Cricetulus griseus: one gene and its partners. The main gene of each other region encodes a partner of the protein of the gene in region 3 in a complex. Links are inferred from orthologs where the notes say so. Each region holds a gene or a part of one and is shown on either strand. Other genes may lie near its edges.

Region 1 (9,652 bases), on a different chromosome or scaffold from region 3:
TCTTCTGACCAGTGACTTCAGGTCAGCAGAGTGTCCTGTGGGAGGCTGATGGCTCTTGGTAGCTGGTATCAGGGGATGAAGCTGTCCCACCTGGAGGCCAGGGGCAACCTAGCTAGGGACTCAGGCTTGGCTTTGGGAAGGGGTCCTGGACAGGGCTTACAGAGGGTGGTGGGGTGGAGTGGATCTTCAGCAGGCCTCTTCCACAGGCCTCACATAGCAGGGATTGACTAAATGATGCCGTACTGGGCCAGCTCATGCAGCTCCAGGTGGTTGAAGGCCTCCCAAGGACAGATGACAGTGATGTCTGTAGGAAAGGTGTGATTAAAGAGGACTCCATGGCCCTGGGACCAACCCATTCCCTGTTCCCTTTCTTTTCACTCCCCACATAAAAGCCATGCCTGCCTAGGTTTCAAGTCTAAACTCTGATGGCAAATCTTCCTCCTAGGCAGGAAGCATCAACTTTGTCCATCTACTGGGTCCTGCCTCCAGTTGAGAAGAAAGTGGAAGACCCACATGGGAAGCTGAAGGGACCCTAGCCCAAAGTTGGAAGGAGCAGCAAAAGTTTCTTCTGTGGCTAGTGAACCTACCCCATGGGGACCACCCCTCTCAGTGGGATCTGAAGCCTGATGCTGGGAGAGAAATAGGAACAGGATGGGAGGCAGGCCGGGCAGTAGAGAGGAACCTGGGACCTGTGGAAGTGTATCTGAGGGATGCAGGGACTCGGGAGAGCTACCCACATGCAACAACCCTGAGTCGTCATACCTGTTCCCAAGCCTTCCATTCCAGGAATGTCATCCCCAAACCTGCAAGGACAGATTGGTCAAGGATGATGTCTCCAGGTCTAGATCTAGCCACCCTTGCATACCAGACTTCCTCCCCAACATCTGCTACTGGGCAGGGTCTGAGCTCTCTTTTACCAACATGGGACTAGTGTGCTTCCCAGATTTCCACAGGCCAAGGACCAGGAAAGGAAGCATGAGCCCAGGTACACACGGGCTGGCACCGACACAGTGTTGTCTGGGTGGGTATGGGCTGTGCGTCTCTGCAGGAGTGTGACGTGGAGCGTGTGAGTGAGTGTGAGGGTGCCATGTGTGTCTCAATGTGCCAGCTGTGGTGTGTCCCTGACAGACAAACTAGTCTCCAGTGTGCAACAATATTGAGAGGTGGTGGCTCTTTAAGAGGGGTCCCAAGTAGAGCGTGATTGCATCACAAGGAAACATGACCGTGGATTGATGCTGCTGTCCTCACAGGACAGGGTTACAACTCTACAGATGAGGTGGCTGTAAGGGAAAGGCTGGCTACTCTGCTTTCTATGTTTCTCTGTGTAGACAGGGTTTCTCTGTGTAGCTTTGTAGACTGGGCTGACCTTGAACTCACAGAGATCCTCCTGCCTCTGCCTCCCGAGTGCTGGGATCAAAGGCGTGCGCCACCACCACCCTGCTCTGTTTTCTCTGACTACATACGATGTCTCCTTTACAGCTCTCCTGCCATGACACTGCCCTCTAGGTTGTAATATAGCCACAGGGTCTTTACCAGAGTCCAATCGGCTGAGACCACCCTTCCTGGAACTCTCAGTCTCCAAAACCGTGCACACTACAAATCCTCTCTATATAAAGCTATATAAACTGTATTCGTGTCCCGTTATTTTCTCATAACAACAGAAAGCTGGCTAAGGTAATGTCTGTAGGTGTTCACATGTAGGTATCTGTGTGTGCACAGGTGAATGGTGGGGCACACACACATCCCTGAGGAGATTCAGGCAGTCTGCTTTCCAGACCTGCCTGGCTGCAGCACCTGGTGTAAATAATGGGCCCCTGGTTCCCCCAAAACCAACTCCTGAGTCCCCATTCATCAGAACGAAGACAAACTGCTGCAAGGAACCTTGTCCTCCCATGAAGCCTGGGAACAGCGTTCCTTCTGTGAAAGGTTCCCCTCTGCTGTTTGCTTACCCTTGGACGCCTTTCTTGGGAGGCTTGCTCTTGAACTGCCTGGTTTGCCGTTGCTTAAACTTAGGTGGTCCTTTCCTGGGGGTAACTGGTCCTCCCATCACCCGAGTGGCCGACCGGATCTCAGCCTTGGGTGGCTCCAGGTTCATGGTGAGGGTGGCAGAGACACTGCAGTGACCCTTAGCTTCTGGACTCGGTCAGGCTGGGCTGGCCTCCTCATGCAGGCTGGGGTAGACCAGACAGATGGAATCCCATTAGCTCTTGCTCTTCCCATCCAACCTTAGGAGCTGAGGGCCTGACACCCAGGAGCCACCCTGAGACAGTTGTCTCCACTGCAGGAAACCACCCTGCCACCCTACTCCCCCCCCCACTTCCCAGTATTCTCTCTCCTCCTGGCACCATCAGGCACCTCCCGCTGCTATCAGCCACAGGCAACTCATGAGCTCCCTTGAGCTCCCTTGTGCCCATTCAATACTCCTAACTCACATCAAACACAATCTTTTTGCTGCACCACCACCACCATGTCGCAAACCAGGGCTTTTTACTATCTCTCCTTGAACACCCTTGATCCCTGCACCCTCCCTCTCATCCCCTGGGATCTGACCTAGCCATGTCACTCTGTGGAAAGCCTTCTGAGGACTCCTGGGATGGTAAACATAGGATGCCCCCTCTTGATCCTGCAAGCGATTCCCACAGCCTCTCACCATCTCTTCCAAGTGATCAGTCCCTGGCTGCTGTCACTGGTGGCAGGTCCCTTCTCAGGAAGGCCTCCTCTGACTCTACGTCATGTCATTCTATATTCCCAGGTCCTAATTTATTTCTTCATACCTCATTCTTTTTATTTTTTGGAAACAGGGTTTCTCTGTGGCTTTGGAGGCTGTCCTGGAACTAGCTCTTGTAGATCAGGCTGGTTTTGAACTCACAGAGATCCGCCTGCCTCTGCCTCCCGAGTGCTGGGACTAAAGGCGTGCGCCACCAACACCCAGCTTTCATATCACATTCTGGCTAAATTCCTCATTTATTTACATGCCCCCTTAAGTCTGTTTGTTCTTATTTATGTACTTGTTGGTTCCACTTATTATCTGTCCCTTGGGGTTGGACTTGGTGCTAATGAATAATGCCCCACAAAATAGAAGGGGCCTGTTGGGTGCCCCTCACTTTCAGGGCTCTGTTTCCAAGGGCCAAGCCAGAAGCAGGTCTCAGGGAGGGCAGTTACCCTGGGATTCTTCCCTTAGGCTGCTCACTGGCTCACTGGCTTGGAGATTTTTCTTGGTTAGACATCACCTGAGGACTCTGCTGCCCTGCATCAGGCCACAACCTAGAACACACTATACAGGATGGCCCCTCCTCCTCTCCCTAAGAGCACTAAGCCCCTGTGACTTTGCCAAGGACAGCACAGTTTTCTGTAATCCTATTAGTGCCTCAAGGAGACTCCTAATCTCCCAGAGTTTCTAGGAAGCTGCATAACCCTCACATGCTGCTGAATACAGGTGGCCCACACAGGAGGTGCCGCCCCGACCCTGAGGTGTTCAAGGGACTACCTCGGAGAGGCCCCTCTCTGCCCTCAGTCCTATGTGGTGTAGCGCTGATCCAGCCTTAAGCCACTGTCAGTGGTCTGCTGGAACATTGGGGCTGAGACTAGTCAGCAGACAAGGATGAGTCTGTTGTAGTCAACGTCCACGTCAATCTCAGTGGCTCCCCCCACCCTTCCTAGGTTCAGCCTTTGTCCCTGAAGCCAGCCAGCACCAACCTCAGGGACCAGGACTCAGTGTTGGTATTCAGGCGTCTGCACCGGCCTGCCCTTGGGGTTCTGACAGGATTCACCCTCAGCTGCAGCCACTAAGAGCACCACCTGTGCACATTCACTGTGTTCCCTTTTAAAAGAGCCCTGCCCGCCTCCCATCCTTCTCTGTGTTCCTTTTTCTCTCTCTGTTCCTCTCTCTCTCTCTCTCTCTCTCTCTCTCTGCCTCTCTGCTTCTCTGCTTCTCTCTCCACTCTCTTCTCTTCTGCTGCTCCTGCCCCCAGAGCCTGGTCCTCCCACTCCCTTCCCCCCTTCTCTCATTCACTTCCCCCTAATTAAAAACTTCTCCACGTGAGCTCTGTTGCGTGGTGTCTTTCTCTCTCGTGCTGCTTTTTATAATTACTACACTCAGGCCGCTCAGTCCTGAAGCACCCATCCCTTACTTCCCAGTGGTAAAACACTTCTCAAACCAAAGGCCACCCCCGACAGAGCTCCAGTGATCGGTGCTGTTTCCATGGAAACCATGCCTGAGAAGCCTAGCCCAGACTGAAGCTAGTTCCATTCAGTTGTACGAACAGGTGGCTGGCCTTGGTAATGGACATTTGACATTGAGGAGAAGCAGAGGAGGTGGCTGGCAGGACAGGGATAGGGGACCAGCTTCTAAAGACTCAGAGCTCAGTAGAGACGGTAAAAGCCTGTTGATGTCCCCCGACCCCAGCTCTGAATGAGCAGACACCTGGCTGTTGGAAAGGGCAACAAAATGGGTCACTACTCACCAAGCACTGGGCAGGTCTCAGGGAGCCACAGGGTCCCGTCGGCTGGACCTAGGAACTTATCCTCCTGCTGGTGAGCCGATTATGTCTCTCTCTTCTGACGCTACACGAATGAGATTGCTGGGCCTTGAGGGAGCCACTGGGCTGCTGGGGGCGGTCAGAAGGGGTTCAGGTGCAGACAAGGGCCTGAAGGAAGAACATCCAAGGGGAGGCGGAGTATGATATTCACCAGCTGTGGGAGTAAAGCTCCAGAAACAACAGGGCCACCTTCTAGACAGCTCTTGGTTGGGCGACCCTCCCTTTCTGTTCCATCCATGGAGAAACCTGTCTGTGGACCTTGATGCTCTATGTGGCAGCCCCCCCCCACCCCCAACACGACGCATTCCAACCCTGCTACTCTATGTAGTCCACGTTTCCTCTAGCTTCCTCCTCTGGGGCCTCTAGAGCTCTGCCTCAGTGTCTTAGAGCCCCTCAGGCTAGGGTAGAACACATATTTCAGTTCAGCTTTTTTTCCTTCTTTACACTCATTTGTATGTTTGGATAAGATTAGCTTTTTGTTTTTCTTTTCTTTTTAAAAATATGGTCTTATGGGGCTGGAGGGATGGCTCAGAGGTTAAGAGCACTGACTGTTCTTCCAGAGGTCCTGAGTTCAATTCCCAGCAACCACATGGTGGCTCACAACCATCTGTAATGAGATCTGGTGCCCTCTTCTGGTGTGCAGATATACATGGAAGCAGAATGTTGTATACATAATAAATAAATAAAATGTTTTTAAAAAAATATGGTCTTATGCTCTTTCTTACTGTTCCTCAGAAGAGGCAAGCAGGTTTTTGCCTCTCTCTCTCTCTCTCTCTCTCTCTCTCTCTCTCTCTCTCCCTCTCTCTCTCTCTCTCTCCCCTCACTCCCTTCCCTTCCCCTACCTCCCCTTGCCTTCCCCCAATAAAACTTCCCACATCCAATCTGTCATGCAGCAAAGGATGGTCTTGAACTCCTTGTCCTCCTCTGCCCCCAAGTATTGGAATTACTAGCATGAGCCAACACAGCCAACTCTGCATGACTCTTCTGTTAACCTTTGTCTTTTGCACTGAAGTAGTAAGAGGAGACATGTTATTCATTTATTCATGTTTTTGTTTTTCGAGACAGGGTTTCTCTGTGTAGCTTTGGAGCCTATCCTGGCACTCGCTCTGGAGACCAGGCTGGCCTTGAACTCATGGAGATCTGCCTGCTTCTGGGGGAGGCATGTTATACTGCTAGTGTCTGGACCACTATGGGGTATTTCACAGATGCTTGGTGGCATAAGTACCTGGGGATTAAACTGATGGAGGCTGAAAAGTTTCTACACCCTGATAAACCTCTCCGATGATGCAGTAATCCACGTTTAATGGATACAGCGCTCCCGAATGGGCTTCCAGCCCCCCAGACAGGAGATGGGAAAGTGAGACCAGAAAAACCACAAGTCTGTTCTCTGGGGGACAGTTTAAATACCCTGTGGGAGTGGTCTTGAGTATCTCTGGGGGAGGCGCCATCATTTGGTGGGCTTTCTGAGATGCAGCAGGGTTTGGAGGGAGATGGGGGAGGGGGCTAACATCCCAGACTCTTTGGGTGTATGGATATCAGCTATTGGGGTGAAGCTTCCGCCTTAACAGAGGCAAAATAAGATGCAGGCCAGTGCGGTAGAGTCCGAGAACTTGAGTGCCACACACCTAGAAGCAGACCTGGGCGTACTGCAAAGGGCTGGCCAATGACTTTTTTTGGAGGGCATCTCATACTGCATGGCCTTACTGGCCTTTGCCACAATTGTCAAATGCTGGAAATTCTGATTTTTGTAGGACCCACTGGTGTTAACATTTCCTGGAGATGGGAACAATTGTCTACCTGCGCTAGGTATGGCGCACTCCTTTAATCCCAACACCCGGGAGGCAGAGGCAGGCAGATCTCTGTGAGTTCCAGGTGTTCCAGGACAGCCAAGGCTGAGAAACTCTGTCTGGAAAACCAACTATCTTTTGAACCTCTTTTCAGGAGGGCATGTTTCAATCCAGATTAAGTAGCTACACAAATGTCTGAGACCATTGTCATGTTTATCTGGGCCCAGCCTCTGCTGAGTACTTTGGAAGGCACGTATCATCTGGCCAAGAGGTCAGCCTGAACTGTGACCTGTCACCCAATAGAAAGTGCCCCTACTCTGTGGTGTTGGTTTTGTCACAGGTCTGTGTAAGACACCAAACATGGAAAAAGCCCTATCAGCTCAAACCCAACAGGAAGTCACTCTACAAGCCTAGCTTTCCCCTTAAACAAAGTAAGTGGAACAGATACATTTAAGCTCAGCCCTTGCTAGTTCTGGAACTTGATGCTCCAACTGCTTTGGTTTCTAGCAGTGCTCACAACTCTAAGGGATGACCCTACACTACTACTTGGAAGAAAGAACATCTCCCCAGGACCCAGCAGGAGACAGGGAGCAGCTAGGCCCCTCCCACGTGACGGTTCTCATTTATCACACAGATGGGGAACCAGAGTTTACGGTCAGCAGGACATCCCAGCTACACTGGGGCCTGGAGGTGCTCCTGCCACAGGGTATTCAGGGAGACAGGGGTTTTGGTTTATCTTCACCGGTGAGGAAAGCTGGCTGCTGAGCAGGGACACACAGCTAGCCGATGTATGCTTTATCTGACAACACAGGCAGAGGGACAACACGATTGGGTTGTCACAGGGAATTTATTAGGAGGTGAAGTTGCTGCACAAGAACAAAAGTGGCCCCGATGCTTCTCAGGGATTGCTTCTGCTCACTGCCTCAGCCTCCACTTTGCATTCTGAGGCGGATCTCCATTCTGAGGAAGGCCTTGAGGTTCTCGTCAGTCACATGCTCCTCAAGGATGGCCAGGGCCTGCTGCCCACCATCCTGGTAGTGCCTCAGCAGAGCTTCTGCGTAATTTACCCACACACAGTTAGGACAGCCGCTCAGGCAGCAGTTTGTGGGAGGCTGGAGCTCGGGTGGCAGAGAGTACGGGGGTCTCATGAGGTTCTCAGGGGGCAGGGAGGCCTTTGGCTCCCTGTTATCCTCTGTACCTGCTTGGAAACCACCTTCCTCCCTGTGGTCCATCCCCAACGATCGGCAGCTAGCAGTGGCTTGCACCGGAGCATGGTGTCTGTGAAGAACACCGTGTCTTCCTCGGGGAAGACCCTGGCCGCAATCCCAGCTGGAGAACTGCTGTGTCCCCTGCGAAAATGGGATACTCAGTGTGACTCTTCCGGAAGCTGGTAAGGCACAGGGGTAATGTTCAGCCTTCCTAGCACTGGACCGGCAGCTCAACATCCTTCTCGGCCTCCTCACTTCCTGCAGGACTGTAGACAAGTTATTATAGCTCACTTCTGTATACTGTTTCCCTATCTGGGAAATGGGCAGGTTGGTTGGTATGAGAAGAAACTTGCTAAGGGCCTGAGGGTTCAGTGTCAGGCACTGGGGCCTGAGCTCCAGACGACTGCAGGAGGAGCAGCTCTGGATCAGACGACTAGACACATGACTGATCCTGGACAGGACGGGGGGAAGGCCACAGAGCCAGCCGGTTTTAACTCAGCACGCCTCCCCTGACCATGCTGGCTATCCTCCTTCCATCCCTTCACGGGAGAAGCTCAAAGGATATAGGGTCACCCCATTCTCCGTCTCTAGCGCCTCAGAGACCCTGGGGTCTGATGCTCACCCGCGACCCTGGTCACTAAACTCTTGCAGTGCCCTTGCCCACTAACTCGTCTGGGGCGCAAACCTGAAGAAACCTCAGTGAGCAGGCCTCCCGGATCTGGGACACCCCGGCCCGCTGGCCCGCGAGTACTTGCCCAGCGGCAGAGCGCAGCTCCCACCCGGCCTCCCCGGGACAGGCTCTGCAGCATTAGCCCCATGGCTGGGGCCGACGCGGGGGACAACGGAGCAGGGAAGGCGCGCAGGAAGCGGAAGTGATGCTCATGGGGCGGGGTCTTGCAAGAGGGCGGAAATGGCTTCGTGCGCGGAGCTCCTGGAGTAACGATGGCGAGACCTGGGCGCGCAGCAGTGGCAAAAGCCGGGTCTGCGGGGCTTAGAGGCCCCGGACAGACGCACGCTCGACGGCAGGAGCCGCCGCGGGGACAGCAGCGCTCGGCAGCATGGCCGGGACGGCGCAGGTGGGTGCGGCCAGCCCGGGCGCACGCTCAGCCATGTGCACGCAGTGAGTGTCTCCAGTCTCCCGGGAGCTCTGAGGCCGTGTGCCGGGGCTTTCGTAGCGCCCTTTGCCTCTGCATGCTCGGCAAGGGCGAGGAGAGCACCTGCACCGCAGCGTTACAGGCGTCGTCTTTACTTTGTTCTGCTTGTTGTACTAGGGAAGGGTCTCACCCCTGGCTTATCTTTCCAGCACGGAAAAGAAGAAAGTGAATTGCAAGCCCAAGAACCAGGATGAGCAAGAAATTCCTTTCCGGCTCCGAGAGATTATGCGGAGCCGACAGGAGATGAGAAAGCCGCTCAGTAACAAGAAGAGAAGGAAGGAGGGTAAGTACAGCCCTCGCGAGGTGCCAGCCTGGCACCTGTGTCTGAACCCATCCAGTTGCCCAAATACTCAGAGGTGTTTGAGGCAGCGGAAAACGAGGCCGGAGTGCAGAGTACCGGAAGGCGCGCCGAGGCACGGACAGCACAGTCCTGACTTATAGCAGTGCCCCTTTGTAATTCACCACTCTTGAGATTTATTTTTAATTCTGTGCATGTAAGCGTGACTGGTCGGGAGGAAAGTGCATGCAGTTGCTATTGGAGGCCAGGAGAGCATGTTGGATCCCCTGGAGCTGGAGTTACAGGCCTTTGCTGCCCAATGTGGCTGCTGGGGAGCCAAACCCAAGTCTTTGAGTATATATTCTTTTTTTATTAGCCTTTTTTTTTTTTGCTGTTGTTTTGTTTGTTTTTTATTATGTATACAGTGTTCTGCCTGTATGTATGCCTGCATGTCAGAAGGGGCACCAGATCTCATTATGGTTGGTTGTGAGCCACCATGTGGGTGCTGGGAATTGAACTCAGGACCTCTGGAAGAGCAGCCAGTGCTCTTAACCTCTGAGCCATCCCTCCAGCCTGAGGAGTACATATTCTAAATGGCTGAGCTATCTCTCCAGTTCCATTGGTGTGTTTTTGTTTTTCAAAGCAGGGTTTCTCAGTGTCCTGGAACTCACTTGGTAGACCAGGCTGG
Region 2 (9,523 bases), on a different chromosome or scaffold from region 3:
GAGGTGGCTTTAGGCCTAGTCAAAGTCCTGCCTCCTGCCCTTCTCTGATGAGGTCTGAAAGCACCTCTGGCCTCTGGGGGTCAGAGGAAGTAGAAAACAAAGCCACCTCCCCATGCATCTTTTCCTTCCCCATCCTGAGTCCTGGTCTTCCCTCCAGCCTCTGCTTACACAAGTCATTACCGTGTGCCAGAGCTTCCCCTCCCAGACCCTGGGTCTCCATCATAGGAATCCCAGCTTGTGCTAAGTCCTAAATGCTGACTTAGATGTTGGGAATCTGAGGCCAGGAAAACCCAGTGGCCAGAGGGCACTGGGAAGTGGAATTATTTATTCTCTTGTATAAAGAGATGGTTGGATATGAAGCATTCCTGCGAAGGCTGATGTCAAAGCTTAGTCCCCAGCTAGTGGCAACACTGAGAGGATCATGACACCTGGATGGGGAGACAGATCTATCTTGGCAGGGAGTGTCTTGTTCTTGGCACCTTCTCTCTCTCTCTCTCTCTCTCTCTCTCTCTCTCTCTCTCTCTCTCTCTCTCTGCCACCAGGTGAACCTTCTGCCCCACATGGTGCTCCACCTCACCACAGGCCCACGGTGATGGGGCCATGTGGCCATGGACTGAAAGCTCTGAACTGAAGTAAATCTTACCTTTTTAAAGTTGATTTGCTCGTGAACTTTTGTCATGATAAAAAGTGACTAACACAAATGCCCTCCCTCCCTGCCTTTCCCTACAGACACACAGGCTGGCCACACTCAAGAACAGAAAAGGAGTTTTATTGAAAACTATATACAGTTTGTCCAGGTCCTCCCACAGGCTGCAATAGGACCCGTCCCTCTCACACCTTGGGCAGTGTTTTGGTCCTTGATGGAGGAAGCCAGGGCTGAGACCAGGGCACCCATCATGGATCTTCGTCTATAAACTGACAACTATAAATAGCCTGGAGGTGGTGGGCAGGGGATAGGGAATGGATCCCTAACCTGATCTAGTCACAGCCTCAAGAAGGGAACACTATTCTGAAACTCAGGCCCAGTGGACCAAGGAGGTATCCAGAAGTCCTCTGCTTCCAGGAGGCCTTCCAGAACATAGTGGCAAACAGTCTCCCCGATTGCCCTTCCCCATGTGTCAAGCAGGCCCCATGAGCTTCAGAGGCTTGGCCTAGGGATGCTGGGCACCCTTCCTCCCAACACTGACTCAGGGTCCAGAGCCACTGGAGCCGGTCCCAAGTTGAGATGATGTTGGAGAGGTCACAGCACAAGGGCTAGGCCAGAGCCTCATAGGCAGGGGCAGCGTGGGGGTCAGGGTGTCCCGCTGTAGGAATAGTCTGCTTTATTGTGCATCACGAGCCGGTCATCCACGAAGTAGAAGCTGTCGGACTGTGTCTCATATGGGTGACGAATCATCTCGCTGACTGCAAGAGAGGCCCAGCCAGGGCAAAGGTCAGGAACCTGAGCCATGGCACTTTAAGGACTTCAGGACTGGGACAGATGAAACACTTCAGAGAGTTCCTCAGCTTCCCTGAGCCTGTTTGCCTCCTGGTGATGGGAGTGGTGCCGGGTAGGGAGGTGACCCAGGATGGGTGAAAGGGGACTAGGTGTACAGGTACCACACTTGTACCCCACCCCCGCACTTGGACTCTACACATCCCCACTCACTTAGCTCCTCAGACAGAGGCGGGAAGTCATAGATGTGTTCACAGGTGTTCTTGCTGCTGGGGATGCAGAAGCCAAAGTGGAAGTCGAAGCTTTTGAGCAGCTGGTTCCGGAAGTAGTGCCTCTCGATCATGCGGAAGTTGTTGACTGGCTTGTCTCCCACTGTGAACTCCACCCTGAGTTAAGACAAGGGGGCAGGGCTGAGAGCAGCCTCCATGCCAACCAGCCAGCCAACCAAGGGACCAGGCTCCAGGCAGACCACTAGTGAGAGGCTCTGGAAGGGCTGTTCCCACCCTCGCACTCACCCCCAGCCCTCACCCCAGCCCAGTGACTCACGTGGCTCCCACCTGCCTTAGGCGAAGGAAGGCAGGTGTGAACTGGTAGCGAACAAAGCGCCCTGCATTGGGGTCCAGGTCCCGCCGGTTGATGGGCAACCGTTCTGCAATGTACCCCAGCTGGGCTCAGTGGGCTTCAGGCTGGGGCCCTTGCCTCCTCCACCCTCCCCCAAGGGACTGTTTGAATTTTTCCAAACTCTCCAGAAGATTCTGGTACACTTTGGTTGAATGGTGGTACCTAGAGGGCTCTGTGTCAACAAATCATCAATTTTCAGGGGTTCCCAGAGCCACGGGATGTACATAGGATCATGGGAGGTCTTTGGGACTGTAGTTTTCAGGGAGGCCAGCAGAGGGCAGGCTGGCCAATACTAAATGGGACTATGCTCCCAAGATGTCCACCCTGAGAAACAGTAGCAGAAAAAGAGGCCTGTCTGCCTACGGTCACCTGAGTATGTTGTGGTCCAAGTCTAGACTCTGTTCTGGCCCTCTGATACTCGAGAAACCTAGAGAGCCCATTCTACTGTGTTTGCCCACCTTTTCCTGTCAGTGGCCCACCTAGCCTACTCACCTGAGACAGGGGGCTTCTTGATTTCAAAGAGGACAGTGCCTGAGTCCATGTCCCGGATCTTGAATCTGACGAAGTCAATCTTGTAGATATTTTCTTCCGGGGAGCACAGGTAGTCTAGGGGAGACAGGCAGGTGAGCAAACAGGGACCCCAAACACCACTGTCAATTTAGTTTCTGTGGGACCCCAAGGCTCACTCTGATCCCACTGGCCACTAACCTCCAGAAAGAAAACTGTGACCATTTGGGAGAAGTTTCCACACTGCAGGGGACAGAATTCTGTTATGAGGACATTGTCAGGGATTAACAGTCCCATCCTAGTGGCCTCACAGGATCAGGCAAGGGAGGTTACCTCTACCAAACCTTTCCTCCCACCTCTATTTTGGGGACCCTTATTTCAGCCTCTGCTCTGTCAAACTGGCAGGCATCCTTTGGACAAGTGTACCTCCTGTGTGGGGGACCTCACTCCAAAGGGAGCGTGCAGCTCTGCCTCTTGAAGGAAGGCTGCTATAGTTCTTCCTTGAAGTGTGTCCCATCCCCAGTACACACCCTGTGGCATGACATAGATGCATCAGGCAAGGCTGATCTTGAGGAGACTTCCCCTTGCATGGGTATTTTGGAGGCAGGTTGGTACCCCTTCCCTATTCTCTTGCTCCCCGCCCTCCTCCCACATAAGCAGCTTATGCTAGCTCTGCTGACTAAGCTCAGAGCCAGGCTACTGGGGAAGAAGAGGCCAACTTTGCTCAACAGATCCTCTGCTGCTCTCCCAATGGGAGGACATCTTAGCAAACAGAGGGAATCCTTAGAGGTCATTTTTCCAGCCTTGGCCTCGAGCCACCTTCAGGGATAAAGTGCTCTCTGGCCAAGCCAGAAGAGAGTGTGGTTGGAGCAGCAGGATATGAATGAGGCAAGGAGAGTCCTGGGCTCAGAAGGAAACCAGGAAAGCTAGGCATTGCCTAGGGAGTTCATGGTCTGACCCTAACCTCTCTTCAGTTGTTGCTATTCCTAAGCCGGGGGTCTCATGTAGCCTAGGCTAACCCTCAAACCCACTAGGTGGCAGATGCTAGCCTTGAACTCCTGTTCTTCCTGCTTCATACAACTTACTGTTCTCATGGCAGCAATAGCAAGTCCTAGGGGAAGCCCTGGCAAGAAACAGGAAGGAGCAGAAAATGCTAGGGAGGCTTGGGTGCTGTTAAGGTACCACATCCTCCCTGCTGACCTACAGAGGCCGGAAGTCACCCCTGGGCCACCTCCTATTCCTCTTGTGGTTGGAAGAGGAAGTGAATACAAAGTCATTCTCTCTTCCCTAGGGCAGCCCCCTCCAGGAAGCCCTCCTGACAGCCCTCTAGCACCTTGGAGCTTGGCAGAAACTATATAAAATTTTAGAGGGTGCTGAGCTCTGACCTATCCATCACAGCTCAGTAAGGTCTGCCCCACAGCTATAGAAGATGCTGCAGAGGGAAGGGAGGGTGGGCAGAACCTGGAAGCAGGATCCTAGCTGCCCAACTCCCAGGAAAAACCTCCCTTTTTACCCTGTGTCCAGCTTGGGAGCCTCTCCTCTCCCTGGGAACAACTTCTCACACCCAGACCTTAGTCTCTTACACTGAAAACTCAATCTGTCAGCCCCTCTGCCCTAGCAGGGAGTGAGGGTCAGGGGCTGCCTAGGGCTCAGGACACTGCAGCCACTCTCTCCCCTCTGCAAAACAAGAGGCCTAGGACCCAAGGTCAGTCCAGAGTAATGGCTCAGAAGCCAATTGCTCTCCCTGTAGCCACAAATAGCTCCCTAAGCCGGATTCAGGGCCTGGTAATCCAGGAACAGCAAACCTCAGACCTATGTGATTAGGGTCAGAAGATAGCAGGCAAGGTGGAGAGGCCTGGAACCCTGTTTTCAAATCCCACACAGGAAAGGGCTCTCACAAGGCACTTGTCCTTGCTCAACCTCTACAAGCTATGAATTCCCTCCAGACTGGGAGACCCATGCTGTGACTTCACCTGGAGGCTTCCTTCGTTGCAAAATAAGCCTTCAGTTATCCAGGAGTGAGGCAGGTGATCCTGCCCCCCACCCATAGGGCTAAATTGAACTGTATGGGCTGCTGTTACAAAATGCAGCCCACTGGCTTCCACACCAGCCTGGTCCAGGCCCCTCCCCCCTCCACTGATGCCTGCTTGTCCAAGGGAGGTCTAGCCAAGAATCTGCCGCTGCTGCCTAGCTCTGAACGGAGGAGGGAGGCCCCTAGGGACCCAGATGCACAAGCTCAGGCCTGCCATCCTGGTCTCCACAGCTGTCTGGGAGCCCTCAGCTCTGCTGCTCCTGCAGATCCATCCAGGCTTTAGGTTCCACTCTAGCACTTGTGTCCATCCCATAGAAAGGGACTGCTAGCTCACAAAGGGAGCTGGAGCAGGTTGCTGGTGACCCACCCATTCCAAGGCAGTGTGCCACTTTCTCTCCAAATACCTTCCATTCCTCAAGGCTCAGCCAACCTTCTGCCAGAAGACTCTCTAGTCCTGTTCACCATCTGTAGTGACGCCTGCCTCTGCCCTGAATGCTCACTTATCTGCCTGCAGACAGCTGCTCTGAACCAAGTCCTGTGTTGATAAAAAAGCCCTGTTGACATAGCATGCATAGCATGCCAAGCATTGTCGAAAAGCAGGAGACAGGCTTTATTTCACAATAACCTTGAGGGAGGTAACATTGTTCCCATTTTACAGATGAAAAAACATGCCTCTGGAAATGAAATTACATCCCCAAGGTCACACAACCAATTATGGGGCAAAAGTGGGACTCTAGTCCAGGCAGCACAGCTTGGAAACAGCTCCAGTGGAAAATGGGCTTCCATTGATGAGAGAGCCCTGGTTAAAAAAACAAGTACCAGCCAGTCCAGGCTTGGGATCACACACTTGTTTCCATGACACAGCCCACAAGCCAACAGACTGAAGCACCCGATCAGTAACGTTCCTGGGAAGAGTATGGCGCTAGCCCTAATGGGGAAGCAGGGTGAGGGACCCTGGAGGTATTCCTCGACTCCACCTCGCCAGAGGATAGGTGCTTAAGAGACTGCCAGTCCGGCACACTCCTCTGTGACCAGCTTCAAAGAGTCCACAGGGGAAAGGGTTCAGATGCAACTGCTGCCCCACCTCTACCATGGGAAAAGGGGTGGGCCCCTTGAAAAGGAAGGAGGGAGGTGAAAATAAGCCCTACTACATGTAGAGGAGGGGCGCACCAAGACACCAAGGAAAATAACAGAAATCTCAGGCTTGGAGGCAAAGGGAGAGTAAAGGGACACAGAGGAGGGGCACTGCGTGGGGGAAGGGTGAGCGCGGGGGCCGGACTCTGAGCCTCGTGGGCCCCCTCCCGAGCTCTCCCTCCAGCCCGCGGGTGGCGCTCCCTTGCCGGTGCTCACCGCCCGTAATCCGCTGCAGCCCCAGCACGTCGTCCGGCCCGATGGGCTGCTTGCCCTGCAGCGGTCCCACCCTGGGCCCCGGGCCTGGTTCTGGCTCCGACTCGGACCCGGACTCGGATTCTGCCCTAGGCTCCCGCGTGGGTTCCACACTCCGGTTCGAGGCCCCTGGAGCGGGCTCCGCCCCCGTCCCGGTCCCGCCGCCGCCCTTCTTCACCTTCATGGCCTCGCGGGGCGGCGGATCCTCGCCTGCTGCTACCGCGTCTGCTGCCTGAGCTGGCTGGAGTCGGGGGAAGGGGGAAGAGTCCGCCGCCCCACCCCCGGTCGGGCCCCAGGTGCCGTCCCGCCTTGTCCACGCCCATAGCGGGCGCGTCATGCATGCCCCGCCCACCGACTGGCATCTCCCCCCCTCCGCCCCCCCCACCCCCTCCGGTAGAGTCAGGATCCTGGGGTCCTCTTGAACTTCACGGTTCTTTTGGACAATGTAAGGTATACTGAATACCTCTCTTTCTCTCTGGGTTCCAGCCTCAAGGTCTTTCCCTGATAGCTCCATCCTTGAACTGATTCCAGTTCAAGTCTCAACCTCCCACACCCACCCAGTTCTAAAGTACTTCCTCTCAGTTTCCAGCTAACCAGCCTGTTGTTTTTTTTTCTAATGCATTAGGCAAAATTATTTGTATTTGTGCCCTGACCTTTGCTCCTCAAAGGTCAGATCTATGAAAGCAACCATACTCTATACTCTGTTCTCTATAACATCCCAGTGCTAGCACAGTGCTCCTGGCAGCCAGTACCCAGGATTTCCCTTTGTTGAACTGATGAGTTAATATCCCAGGGCTGTCACTGGCTCAAGCTATTCCTCCCTAGAATTCCTGCTCAAAAGCAGAAGCATATATTCACAGCTTTAGGCACCCTACAACATGCAAATATCACAGCCCAGGTGTCTAGCCATTCCCAGACTCCACAGTCAGGTGGGACATGGAAGACCTGTGAGCTCAGGGCAGATCAGACTGCTTCTCACACATGAGTGAAAATAATGATATGTCATATCAACTCATATTCAACCAATGTTTATTAACAACCTAATACATATTTTTAAAGAGCCCAATATACACAACACTTTTATATGCTTATCACATTTAATCCAATGCCCTTCTGAGAGTGACGTCATTAATGCTTTCCGACAGATGAAAACCTGTGGCTCAGTGAGAAGCGCTGCTTATCTAAAGCTCTCCAGTACCTCAGTGCAGCAGGGGTCCAATCCAGGCCTATTGGATTCTAAGTCAGAAGTGTTTCCTCCTATACCACACTGCCTCTCTGAAAGGGTAGAGGGGAACCAGTTCCTAAGCCACTGCCTCCTAGACCAGGCTAGGCTGTACCCAATGGGTGATACCAGTCAGGAAGGAGAGGAAGGAGGGAGAAAGTCTTAGAAGTGGAGAGGAGGGGGCTACAATTTAACCCAAGGATTTCCCCTAAATCGACCCCTCAGTGCCATAGTATGCTGTGCTGACAGGCTGGAAGGACAAGGTGCCACTGCCCAGGGGTAGACAGGCAAAGGCCTTTAAGTTCAAGCCAGTGGGATAGGGAGGGAAGGGAGGATGAGTCCATCGTTGAGCATCATCCTTTGGTTGGTGGAGAGCCAACAGAGAAGAATGAAGACAAACCATCAAACCTCACTTTGGTGTCTTGGCCCAACACTCCTAGCTTGGCCAGACAAGAAGTCTACCTCTGACATGCCACCCAGCTCAGTCTACCTTCTCAGGCTTTTTCCAGGACTTGTGAGTTTCCAGAAAGATCTTGACCAGAGACAGGAGGATGGGCACAGCCATAGGCAGGAAAAGTGGGATATAGATAGCAAATTTCTGGTCATCAGGGAAATACAAGAGGTGGAGGAGTGAGGGATCAAAAAAGGCACGCTCAGAAGATGTCACAGCTTCCTGGCTGGCCACAAAGGCAGATGACAGGTGCCCAAGGGCCAGCTCCTCTGCTGCCTTCTGGACTGCAGCCACAGCCCTATATACCTAGGAAGGTGAAGGGATAGGAGTTAGCAATATGCCCTGGGCATGGGGTAGGGGAAGAGTGCTGGCCTTTTAGAACCCTCTGTCTCCCAGGGAAGTTTCCTGGAGTCCACCCAAGCTATGTGGAAGTTAGTCAAAAAGGGTTGTTTATTTTCTTGAGGGTCAGCTTAAAACTTTCATTTGTTCCTACCTAGACTCCCATGGGGAGCTGGCATGGCTTCCAGAGGAAGCCTGATGTATTTATTAATGGATGGCATGCTCACAGGCACCCTGGCCCATCCCTTCCTAGCCCATTTACCTCAGATGCCACATCATCCTTGATGACAATGTTGCTGATCTTGCCCAGAAGCTGGGCCAGGGAGGTGAGGGTGGTGGTGGCTGTGGCCAGGTTCTCCACTGACCGAGCCCAGAGCAATCGGTCCAGCTCCCAAGTCATGAGGCCTTCACTCTTTGGTCCTGAAAGCAGGCATTTTGGAGGCACCTGGGGCTGAGTAATCCCAAAGAGAAGCCTGTGGAAATGGCACCGGGAGACCAAAGTTGCTGTGAACAGGGGTGCCAAAGCTAAGATTCCCATAGTCTCTGTCTTAAGCCAGTCACTTTTGGTTTCACTGAGAACAACAGAGTTGGAAAGATGAGTAGCAACAGCAAACAACCCAGATTTCCAAACCCCACCTTGACCAAATATTTCCATTTCCACACTGGAGTTCCAAGATCTTGTCTGAAAATGGTGCTGTGGTTTAAGTGTTTCTTTAGCCCCAACTTAGTCCGGTTCCCTCCCTTTCTTTGAATAAATGGACTCCATGGGACAGGGATGGCAGGCCCATCTTTGACAAGACATGTGTGCCTCAAGGTACTGCCAATTACAAGAATACAGTCCTGATTAGCCCAGAAGCCACCTTAGCATCTTCGATGTAGAGCATCAGATGACTGCCCTCAATTCATGTGTTAGCACAAAATAAATAGCTATTTTCTTAAAAACAAAAACAAAACAAGGAGCTGGAGGGATGGCTCACTGGCTGCTCTTCCATAGGAGCTGGGTTCGACTGCCAGCACCCACCTGATGGCTTACAACCATCTGTAACTCCAGTTCCAGAAGATCCAATGCTCTCTTCTGGTCTCTGTGGACACTAGGCATACAGGCAGGCAAAAAAGCCACACACATAAAGTAAAAAATAAAATAAAAAATTTAAAAAAGATGAGACCTTATCTCAAAAGAAAACAAAAATAATAAAATAGTTGCTCATGCTCTCTCTCTCTTTTTTTTGAGACAGAGTTTTTCTTTGTAGCTCTAGCTGTCCTTGAACTCCCTCTCTAGACTAGGCTAGCCACGAACTCACAGAGATATGCCTGCCTCTGCCTTCCAGGTGCTGAGATTAAAGGTGTGCACAACAGTTATTCTCTTAGACACCCCTAATCACACATGGAAAGCTGGCTTCTATTTTTCTGAAGGAAGCTTTGCCAGGTGCTTGTCTTCCTTAGGAGAAGGACCACTTGCAAATTTTTCTTGGTCTTTCTCGGGTCTAGGCACAGACATAGCACTCCACAGCAGTCCCCCAGGCAACATTT
Region 3 (9,489 bases):
ACCAAAGAAACCGCCATGGAGGTGAATGCCTCTAATCCCAACACTCGGGAGGCAGAGGCAGGTGGATATCTGTGACATTGAGACCAGACTGTTTTACAAAGTGAGTTCCAGGACAGCCAAAGCTGTTACGCTGTTACACAGAGAAACTCTGTCTTGAAAAACCCAAAAAAGAAAAATAGAAAAAGAAAACATATATAGGAATAGATATTTTTCTGTATATTTCAGGCTCCAATAAATCTTGGCATGCCTTTCTTGAATTTTTATAATTTTGTTCACAGTGAATTTTTGCATTAATTTTATTTTTTTTTGTTTTTTTTGCTTTTTTCAAGACAGGGTTTCTCTGTGTAGCTTTGGAGCCTATCCTGGCGCTTGCTCTGGAGACCAGGCTGGCCTCAAACTCACAGAGATCCGCCTGCCCCTGCCTCCCAAGTGATGGGATTAAAGGCATGCGCCACCAACGCCCAGCTAATTTTAATTTTTTAAAAGTTTTTTGTTGTTGTTGTTTTGTTTTGTTTTCTTTGAGATAGGGTTTCTCTGTGGCTTTGGAGGCTGTCCTGGAACTAGCTCTTGTAGACCAGGCTGGTCTCAAACTCACAGAGATCTGCCTGCCTCTGCCTCCCGACCACCACCTGGAAAAAGTTTTATTTTTAGTGTGTGTGTGTGTGTGTGTGTGTGTGTGTGTGTGTGTGTGTGTGTGTGTGCGTGCGCGCGCGTGCATGGAGGTCAGAGGACAACTTTGTGGGGTCAGTTCTCATCTTCTGTCTTTATGTGGGTTCTAGGGATGCAACAGGTTTGTTCAGCAAGTGGTTTACCTACTGAGACATCATACTGGCCCTAATTCTGATTTTAAAGGTGTGTGACACCATACTGGACTATGAGTGGTAAAAGAATATTTGAAGCTGGGCATTGGTGGCGCACGCCGTTAAACCTAGCCCTCAGGAGACAGAGGCAGGATGATCTCTGTGAGTTTGAGACCAGCCTGATTTACAGAGCAAGTTCCAGAATAGCCAGGGCTACACAGAGAAACCCTGTCTTGAAAACAACAACAAAACCCCCACATTTATGTATCCCTGGTTGGCCTGGAACTTGCCATGTAGACGAGGGTGGCTCAAACCCACAGAAATCAGCCTGCTGAGATTAAAGGCATGTGCCACCATGCTCAGTTCCTGATTTTTTTAAAAAAGATTTTATTTATTTATTTATTTATTTATTTATTATGTATACAACATTCTGCTTCCGTGTATATCTGCACACCAGAAGAGGGCATCATATCTCATAACGGATGGTTTTGAGCCACCATGTGGTTGCTGGGAATTGAACTCAGGGCCTCTGGAAGGAGGTCGGTGATCTTAACCTCTGAGCCATTTCTCCAGCCCCCTGATTTATTTTTTAACATTAAATTTTTATTTGTTTTCGGTTATTTATTTGTTTGTTTATTTGGAGGCAGGGTTTCTCTGTGTGGCCCTGGCTGTCCTGGGACTAAGAGATCCACAAACCTCTGCCTCCCAGAGTGCTGGGATTAAAATTGTGCTAGCAGCTAAGGCTTGTAAGTGTTGAGCCATCTCTCTCCAGTCCCCCGGGTTTTTTAAGGCTATTTTGTTATTGATTATGATTGTGTGCGTGTGTATCTGTGTGGGGGTGTGTGGAGGTGAGTACAGGTGTGTGTATAGTACAGGTGTGTGTATCTGTGTGGGGGTGTGAGTACAGGTGTTCATAGCCAGCCTAGGCTACCCAGTAAGACCCTGTCTCATAAAACAAACAAAAAACTCCCTGCTGATCTGAGGCTGCCCCGGTTAACATTTCCCATATCCTTCAGTCTCGGTCAAAGGTCATGAGTTGGACCCATTACCCCCTCCAAGATCTCCAGAGCCCAAGTCAGGCCAGGCACTTTACCTTGCAAGGGGTCATCTTCCTACATCACTGACGTCTAGTACTTAATAAATGTCCAGGACTCATGGTAACTAAGCTTCCCCCACAGACCCAAGAAAGGACAGCAGACCCTTTGCAAAGGTTTATTGCTAAGTCTGTGAACATAGCCAAGGGAAAGTACAGATGACGCCCTAGCCTTGCTGGACAGAAGCGCTGTGTCTCCACAACAGCAGCACTGACTCTGGTCCACAGGCTTAAGTAAAGACTTTCGGCTTGATGAAGAAAGGAGTGGCTGGGGGTGTGGGACATTGTCTCTAATGGCTCAGGCATGACTTTCAGTTCACTCTCTCCAGGAAGGGGCCCTACATCCGGAGGGACAGCAGAGTCACATGGAGTCGACTGGAACCTCACATGGGATATTCTTTGCCCATGGTTGATCGATAGAGTTGGACTCTGCCCTCAGCCACCCCTCAGCGTAGCTTGATTATTGGTCAGAGCTGATGTCAATAGTGCTCTCCTTCAATACACCACACCTTGATCAGCCAGCCCTCAGTATTGTGTGTGGGTGGAGGAGGTGGGGTCCAGAAGTGTCCAAGGACAGAGGGGAAGACCCAGAGAGAGAAAGGGACGGGGAGATGCCCTGAGACTGGTACTTGGGGATGGGTTTGGCTTGTGTCTCTCCCTGGTACCTACCTCAAAGTCACTAATTTATCTGTGAGCCTACTTAGACCAGAGCTTGGACTTTGGATCCCTTGGGCTTCTGGGAGGGACAGTCACTGACCACTGGGTGGACAGATGTTGGGCTTGTCAAATGCAGGTAGCAGGCTGGAATGACCTGCTGGCAAGCAGCAGGACTGCTTGAGGGAGGGATACCTCAAGCCCTTCATGAAAGCTGGGGAGGGCAGGGAGGGCTGTTTGCTGAACCGAGATCTGCCAGGTGAGCTGCTGCTGGTGGGGGTGGCAGAAGGGCGTCAGAAGACCGGGTCACTTGGGCACTGCTGAGTCACTGTGAGCGCCAGCTGTCCCAAGTCCTGCCTTGTCCTAGTTGGGGCTAGTTGCTGTGGGTCCAAGAGGCCAGTGCAGCCAGGCGTTGAAGGGCAGGGCGGGGTTGGGGAATTGGGGGAGGGTCTGCACTTTAAGCCTCGGGGCTTGGGTGTGGCTAGTGGAGCGGAGGTTGAGGCACAGGAGTTATTGGGGACTACAGGGCAGCTGGGCTACTGAGTCTCGGAGCAAGGGACATAATTGAATACAGGTATCTGTGAAGAGAAAAGGGAACGCAACCTCAGCATCCTTGAGCAGCAAAATAAATGAGAGTAGTGGGTGGGGCCTCTGGTAGTGGGTGGAGCCTGAAAGCCTGGGCAGCAGGGGGGGCAGTCTGGAGCAGTGAACGCCTGGAGGAACTAGGGGCAGGGTTGAGGTCCTGAGATTACGTTGGAAGACAGTGGAAGGTCTGGCTAGCTAGGTCCCCACCTCAGAAGAGCCCGCAGTCTTTGAGGTTCTCCTTGATGATAATGTCGGTGACAGCGTCAAAGACAAACTTGACGTTCTGTGTGTCCGTGGCGCACGTCATGTGGGAATAGATCTCCTTCACGTCCCGCCGCATGTTAAGCTCGAGGAACTGCACTTTGATGTAGTTGCCGGCATCCTCGTAAGTGTTAGGTCCTGCGGCAGAGGGCAGCACTCGCTCTGCGCGGGAAGACCTTCCGCGGGAAGGAGCGCGCTGCGCGGCGGGAATCGTGGGGCTGGGGCGCCGCCTGGCGGCCGGGACTAGGGACGCTCACCATCGTAATCGGGAAAGCAGATGCTGAGGTGTGCCTTTTTGATCTTCTCGGAGAAAACGTCCTTCTTGTTGAGGAAGAGCACGATGGACGTGGTGGCGAAGTAGCGATGGTTGCAGATGCTGTTGAACAGGTGCAGGCTCTCGTGCATCCGATTCTGGGGAAGGCAGCAGGCTGTTGGGCACCAGGCTACGCAGGCAGCTGCCCTCGGTCTCTGGGCTCCCGGGACTTGAGCGCCTCCTCACTCCAACAGCTCCCAGACAGCCTCAGTGGCTCCCGGGGCTCCACCTCCCTTGGCAAACACTCAGGCCTAACTGGGCACTCACCACTTCGTCGTCCTCCACCAGCACCATGTCGTAAGCGCTCAGTGCCGCGATGAAAATGATGCACGTCACACCTTCGAAGCAGTGGATCCACTTTTTGCGCTCGGAACGCTGCCCGCCCACATCGAACATTCTGCAGGACAGAACCAGCCGTGTCGGGTCACCTGGACATGCCCACCGGCAGCCCCTGTCTTCCTGAGCCCTCTTAGGAAGTGGCATCTGGGGTGACCAGCCTTTCTCTTGGCCGGGGTAGGGCCTTCCCTCTCCGGGCAGGCCAGCTCAACAAGCGTGCCGTGCAGGGCCCTCACCTGAAGTTGAGGTCCTTGAAAGAGAACTGCGTCTCGATGATGCCAGTGGTTTTGACACGAGAACGCAGCACGTCCTGCTCAGTGGGCACATATCCTGGAGTCACCAGGCGCTCTAGGTCTGAAAGATAGCTGAGGAAGTGGGTGAGTGAGCATGAGGGGGAGTGGTGTGGGAGAGCCCCCCGGGCTGGGTCCTGCCCACCCACCTCCTCTGCTCCCAGCATGCACTTGTGCACTCACTAGCCAGCAGAGTCGTTGAGCTGGTACTCGGAGGCTCGCTCAAAGCAAGCTTGGATACCCGAGTCTTTCCACAAGCGCTGAATGATGTCAGACATCTCCTTAGGCATTGTGCCTTCCTCGATGGTATCCGCCATGTGCATCAGCTTCCGGGCATCATCCTGATGGTAGGGCAAGGTAGTGGTTGGGAACCTGAGCCTAGCCGGGTGCCCAGAGCCCCTAGGGAGTGGTATCAGCCTGCCTCACCTGTCGGGCCGAATCTCCATACTGAATGTTGAGCGTCGTCATAGCCCGAACGATGGCCAGGATGGACTGCAGAGTGTTGCCATAGATGATGGCTATGAACTCGAGGCATTCTTCCAGTGAATAACCATCCTGGTGGATAATCCTACAGCCCAAACCCGTAGAGTCAGAGCTTCCTGGGCCAGCAGGGAAGGGCTATAGCTAGGGGCTAGGGGCAGGGAACACTCACTCACTTCATCTGCTTGACAATGGTGCTCTTCCCGGATTCACCAGCACCTGGAAGGGAAGCTGTGACTCAGAGCAGCACTGACCAGCACTGACCACTTCCTGTGGATCAGAGCCCTGGGGTGCTAGCTAGAACTCTAGATAGACTCGCTCTCATTTCCATCCAAAGTAAAGTCTTGAAGACCCCTGGGGGGAAATGGTTGTAAATAACAAAAGGGACTTAACATTAGTTATGTGATCTTAACTGTGCGGGCACAGGACGGGCCCCAAGATTCTGGTATATAGAGCCTTTATTATGCTGCAATATCAAAATAAGGAAACCTCTAGGGCCACCTTGTGGATATTTCCAGTACTGTATGCACAGGATTATCTGAATGGGACCAACCTCTGCTTTTCACCTACAGACTAAAGAGATGTCTCTGAGAGGCTCAGAGGGAATTAGCACCCTTAGATGAGGAAGAGGACAGAGCTGACATCCTTCCTGAGCCTGCCCTCCTCAAGGGTGTTGGATATAATTAATGGGATTTCCGGCTTAGCTTCTTGGCCTTTCTCCAGGGGGCCCTGGCTTAGTACCTCTGCCTGCCCCCTAAACTAGCAACTTTCCCCTGGGGGTTAAGCAATGGCAGTACCACATCTCTCCTCACTACCCATGGGATCATGGGCTTTATTTATTCTTGTAGGTGACAATATCTTTCCACTTTCTCTCCTGCCTCCACCCCACCTGGGTTTCTCTGTGTAGCCCTGGATATTTTAGAACTTGCTGTGTAGCCCAAGCTGGCCTCAGACTCAAAGATCCGCCTGCATCTGCCTCTCAAATGCCGAGATTAAAGGCGTGTGCCACCACTGCTTGGCATCGTTCCTCTTTCTTTAGCTGTTTCACCAAAGATAAAATTCTGCCACCTAGTGCTTTTGTGGACATGAGTGGCCTTAGAGGCTTCTTATTCTCAGGGGAGAAAGGGCCGCCAAAAAGACCTGAGCCTTGTTGAGCAGGCCCAGAAAACCAAAGGCTATACCTTTAGGACAAGTGTGGCTGAATGCACACATTTATTCAAAGGTGTTTGACACTCACTTCTGCAGAAAGAAGAGTGTCCACAGGAAATTGCCATAGGATGCCTAACCTTGGGAGACTGAGCCATCACCACCTGTCAGACGTAGCAGGGGTGGGGGTGTGGGGGTGGGGGTGCCCTGTCCCACCTGAGCCCTGCCACACCACATTGTCATTCCCACCCACCCCCAAGGAATCCTTGCTCCATAGAAAGGCTGCTTGCCCAGCCCCAGGCTGCTGACCCTCAGCAGTCCCCTCCCCATCACTGGACAGCACCTTACCCAGCAGCAGCAGCTTCACGGTTCGAGCATCCTTTTCAGCATCTTCTTTTAGCTTCTTCTCTAGCTCTCTGGAATGCTTCTCCTCAGCACTGGCCCCAGCCCCCATGGTCCCAGCAGCAGGCAAAGGGACAGGGTAGGCAGCCTTTGGCCTCCTCAGACAACCTTTTGGCCCTAAAGCTGGCAATCAACTGGCTCTCCACGGACCTGTACAGGCCCTGGTGGGATTGCTTAGTGGGATTTGGGAGCTAGCAATGCCCAAGGGCCAATCAGAGACAAGGACAGGTGAAGCTCAGTCTCCTAGCCTTTTAATCAGGCTGGCAAGGCCCCAATCCTTCGACTGCTGACTCCGCACCCCTCTGCCTCCTCCAATTCTCCAGAAGAGACCCGAAGAGTCCATGCCTTGTCCTGTAGGAGTTTCTTGGTATAGTTGAGGGGAAAGACCCTTTAGTCCCAGAAGTAGAACTGGGGCTGGGGCCGGCAGGGGAATACTGAAGGAGAAGCAGTAGATGACCTCCTGCTTGCCCGCAAGACTGTGTTCATGACCACTCTTCTGTGAGCTTACATGGAACGTGGGGGAAGGTGTTGCCCAAACCACAGCCCCATTTTACTGGTTAGGAGGAGCACAGGGTCACATGTTTAGCAGTGGTTCACAAGTGTGAACCCTCTGGATCAGAGGGTTCTGTGCCTGCTGGAAACTACAAGGCAATAGGTGACTTTATATTTGCCTCACACTCAGGGCTAAATGTGACCCCGAACATGGTCTCTACATACCTTCTGCAGGATGAGTCTGAAATACATGCCTGGGTGTGTCTTTCTGTTCCTTACTAGGACCAAGTAATGACTTGAGCCTGTATACGGGCATGTATGTGTTCACCTGGTAGTAGCTTTTTGAGTACATGTGCCCTTACACACCTGTTTAATTGACTATGTATGCAATGTGTGTATGTGCATTGGTGCCCTGTGCCCATGGTGGGGATCAAATCTAGGGATTCGTGCATGCTAGACACATACTTTACTCCTGAGCTGCACCCCAGCATCCTATGCTTGCCTTACAGGTACAGGTGTTCCTGTTTATTTTGCAGTGCTTTGTGTGGGCTCATTGCTGTTTATTCCTGTGTGCCTGGATATGCTAATGTAGGTAACTGTGGGAGACATGCTACAGCCCACTTGCCTGTATTTAGATGCACACCTATGTCCCTGTGTGTGTGTACAGAGCTTGTATGTGCCAGTCCATGCACATACGTGTGTGTGTGTGTGTGTGTGTGTGTGTGTGTGTGTGTGTATGTATGTAATTGCAACAAACGAACTACAGAAGTGACTAAACTCTGAATCTTTGGCAGGTCTATTGTCAGATATGGATGCTGAGGCTTGGTGCTCCCCGGAGTATGGGAGAGTGGGGGTTCCACTGCCCTTCTTCCATCCGGTCCACTCAATGGGAGACCTGCATAGGCACCATTAAAACCTGACAGCCCCGACTCCGGTGTGGAGACCTGCTCAGGTGTAGCAGTTGGTGAAATGTGGCACCTGCTGAGCTGAACTCCTGGGTTCTAGAGATTTCTCATCCACATACAATTGGAAACCCCAATTGAGAGTCTTCGGCTCTCAAGGCTCTCTGTACTAGTCGAGCTTCTTCGTTGGATTTCCTGAAACCAGACCCAACTCTGCAATAGACAACTAGGGGGGTGTCAGCATCCCAGGCACTGAGCACGAAGTTATCACTAATCAGGACATGTGGAAGTAGATACCCTCATGCATTTTGGGCACTCATTCTACTGAGGAGGTTCTACTCAGGAGCAAGACTGCTTCGTCTGTGCCACAGGGATCTTGGGCAAAGCAGCACAGGAGCCCTGGCTAATTCAACTAGCCTGTTTTCTACATATCGACTATTTTTGTTGTTTTTGTTTGTTTTTCGGTTTTTCAAGACAGGGTTTGTCTGTGGCTTTGGAGGCTGTCCTGGAATTAGCTCTTGTAGACCAGGCTGGTCTCCAACTCACAGAGATCCGCCTTCCTCTGCCTCCCGAGTGCTGGGACTAAAGGCATGCGCCACCACTGCCTAGCGGAGCCTTTTTTTAAAATTATTTATTTTATTGGTGTTTTGCCTTCACATGTCTATGTGAGGGTGTTGGATCCCCTGAAACTGGAGTTAGAGTTGTGAGCTGCCATGTGATTGTTGGGAATTGAACCGGGGTCCTCTGAAAGAACAGCCATTGCTCTTACCCTCTGGGCCATCTCTTCAGCCCCCAAATGAACAAAATGCCAACATGAGTTTAACTCTTCTCCTTTTCTTTTCTTTTCTTTCTTTCTTTTCTTTCTTTTTTTTTTTTTTTTTTTTTTTTGAGACAGGTTTCTGTGAAGCCCTAGCTGTCCTGGAACTCACTCTGAAGAGCAGGTTGGCTTCAAACTCACAGAAATCTGTCTGCCTCTGGCTCACAAGTGCTGAGATTAGAAGTGTGGGCCTAACCCACCTCCATTCCCACCTCAACCACCAAGCAGAGAAAGCAAAGTCTAGTCCCAGAGCCAGTGTTTATTAGCAAGATGGAACCCAAGAGTGGCTGTGGCTTGGGTAGCAGAGGGCTGCAGGAGCCCCCAACCCATCTACCCAACTGCCCCCAGAGCTATTTACACCCATCACCTGAAGCAGTGGGCAGAAGGGAACCTTTTGGGATGCCCTGCAGACCTGGGGCCTCCATCATGGCGCATGTACCCTCAGGGCTGGGGGGATCTTTCAAGCCGCACCTGTACCCGGCCCCATGGCATCTCTCCCCATGGGTCAAGGTGGCACAGGAAAGCTAAGGAGGTAGAGAGGGGTGGACCTGCCAGGACAGGCAAGGAGGGGAGAAGAGGAGGTCCTGCCCCACCCAGGCAGACTTCTCTTCTGTCCCCAATAAATAGAGAATAAATACCTGGGAAAGGTTGGCCTTGACTGAGCACCCCTGACCCAGGCAGGGGCCTGTATCCTGTGATGGCCCTTCCCTCCCTCCCTCCTGAGTGCCCTGAGGCCCAACCCCCAGACTCTACAGCAGTCCTGGTGTCCATGTCTACGCCACAGCACAGCTGACAATACTCATCAGCAAAAGTATATGGTCCATGCCCCAGCAAACAGGGCTTGCTCCCTCCCTGTGTTCTGTAGATCTTGACAGCTGTCGAGCAAGGAGATTTCCGCAGAGTCTGGGGACTGTATGG

The links.
Region 1: the proteins of Gnat1 (region 3) and Pde6g are in contact, whole or in part, in a cryo-EM structure (PDB 7JSN), measured with the Bos taurus proteins. The link is inferred for Cricetulus griseus from reciprocal best matches to the Homo sapiens genes GNAT1 and PDE6G. Residues at the interface, in NP_851365.1 of Bos taurus: Ser140, Arg201, Arg204, Lys205, Trp207, Ile208, Phe211, Asp227, Val229, Glu235, Val236, Asn237, His240, Glu241, His244, Leu245, Ser248, Ile249, Ile281, Phe283, Glu305, Leu306, Met308; in NP_776846.1 of Bos taurus: Arg36, Gln37, Phe38, Lys39, Ser40, Lys41, Pro42, Pro43, Lys45, Leu60, Val66, Ile67, Cys68, Pro69, Trp70, Glu71, Phe73, Asn74, His75, Leu76, Glu77, Leu78.
Region 2: the proteins of Gnat1 (region 3) and Unc119 are in contact, whole or in part, in a crystal structure (PDB 3RBQ), measured with the Homo sapiens proteins. The link is inferred for Cricetulus griseus from reciprocal best matches to the Homo sapiens genes GNAT1 and UNC119. Residues at the interface, in NP_000163.2 of Homo sapiens: Gly2, Ala3, Gly4, Ala5, Ser6, Ala7, Glu8; in NP_005139.1 of Homo sapiens: Asp87, Phe88, Val89, Arg90, Phe91, Ile105, Lys106, Lys107, Gly126, Arg127, Phe128, Val129, Tyr131, Phe137, Val147, Glu163, Leu172, Ser218, Tyr220, Asn230.

What each region holds. Positions count from the first base shown.
Region 1 is NC_048600.1:132,941,239-132,950,890, forward strand, and holds the start of Pde6g (retinal rod rhodopsin-sensitive cGMP 3',5'-cyclic phosphodiesterase subunit gamma), read right to left. Parts: upstream 4,787-9,652; 5' UTR 4,464-4,786; intron 2,172-4,463; 5' UTR 2,096-2,171; coding exon 1,950-2,095; intron 804-1,949; coding exon 763-803; intron 305-762; coding exon 228-304; 3' UTR 1-227. Other genes in the region: Oxld1 (oxidoreductase-like domain-containing protein 1), read right to left, coding at 7,249-7,799, 8,156-8,351; Ccdc137 (coiled-coil domain-containing protein 137), read left to right, coding at 8,476-8,609, 8,837-8,970.
Region 2 is NC_048600.1:91,727,466-91,736,988, reverse strand, and holds Unc119 (protein unc-119 homolog A), read right to left. Parts: upstream 6,280-9,523; 5' UTR 6,166-6,279; coding exon 5,946-6,165; intron 5,131-5,945; exon of another isoform or gene 5,007-5,130; coding exon of another isoform or gene 5,000-5,006; intron 2,663-4,999; coding exon 2,549-2,662; intron 2,085-2,548; coding exon 1,982-2,084; intron 1,822-1,981; coding exon 1,649-1,821; intron 1,405-1,648; coding exon 1,292-1,404; 3' UTR 749-1,291; downstream 1-748. Other genes in the region: Pigs (GPI transamidase component PIG-S), read right to left, coding at 7,685-7,960, 8,256-8,466. UniProt on the Homo sapiens protein: Involved in synaptic functions in photoreceptor cells, the signal transduction in immune cells as a Src family kinase activator, endosome recycling, the uptake of bacteria and endocytosis, protein trafficking in sensory neurons and as lipid-binding chaperone with specificity for a diverse subset of myristoylated proteins.
Region 3 is NC_048597.1:215,857,621-215,867,109, forward strand, and holds Gnat1 (guanine nucleotide-binding protein G(t) subunit alpha-1), read right to left. Parts: upstream 5,271-9,489; 5' UTR 4,994-5,270; coding exon 4,989-4,993; intron 4,901-4,988; coding exon 4,759-4,900; intron 4,674-4,758; coding exon 4,516-4,673; intron 4,408-4,515; coding exon 4,279-4,407; intron 4,104-4,278; coding exon 3,974-4,103; intron 3,805-3,973; coding exon 3,651-3,804; intron 3,532-3,650; coding exon 3,341-3,531; 3' UTR 1,999-3,340; downstream 1-1,998. UniProt on the Homo sapiens protein: Functions as a signal transducer for the rod photoreceptor RHO. Required for normal RHO-mediated light perception by the retina.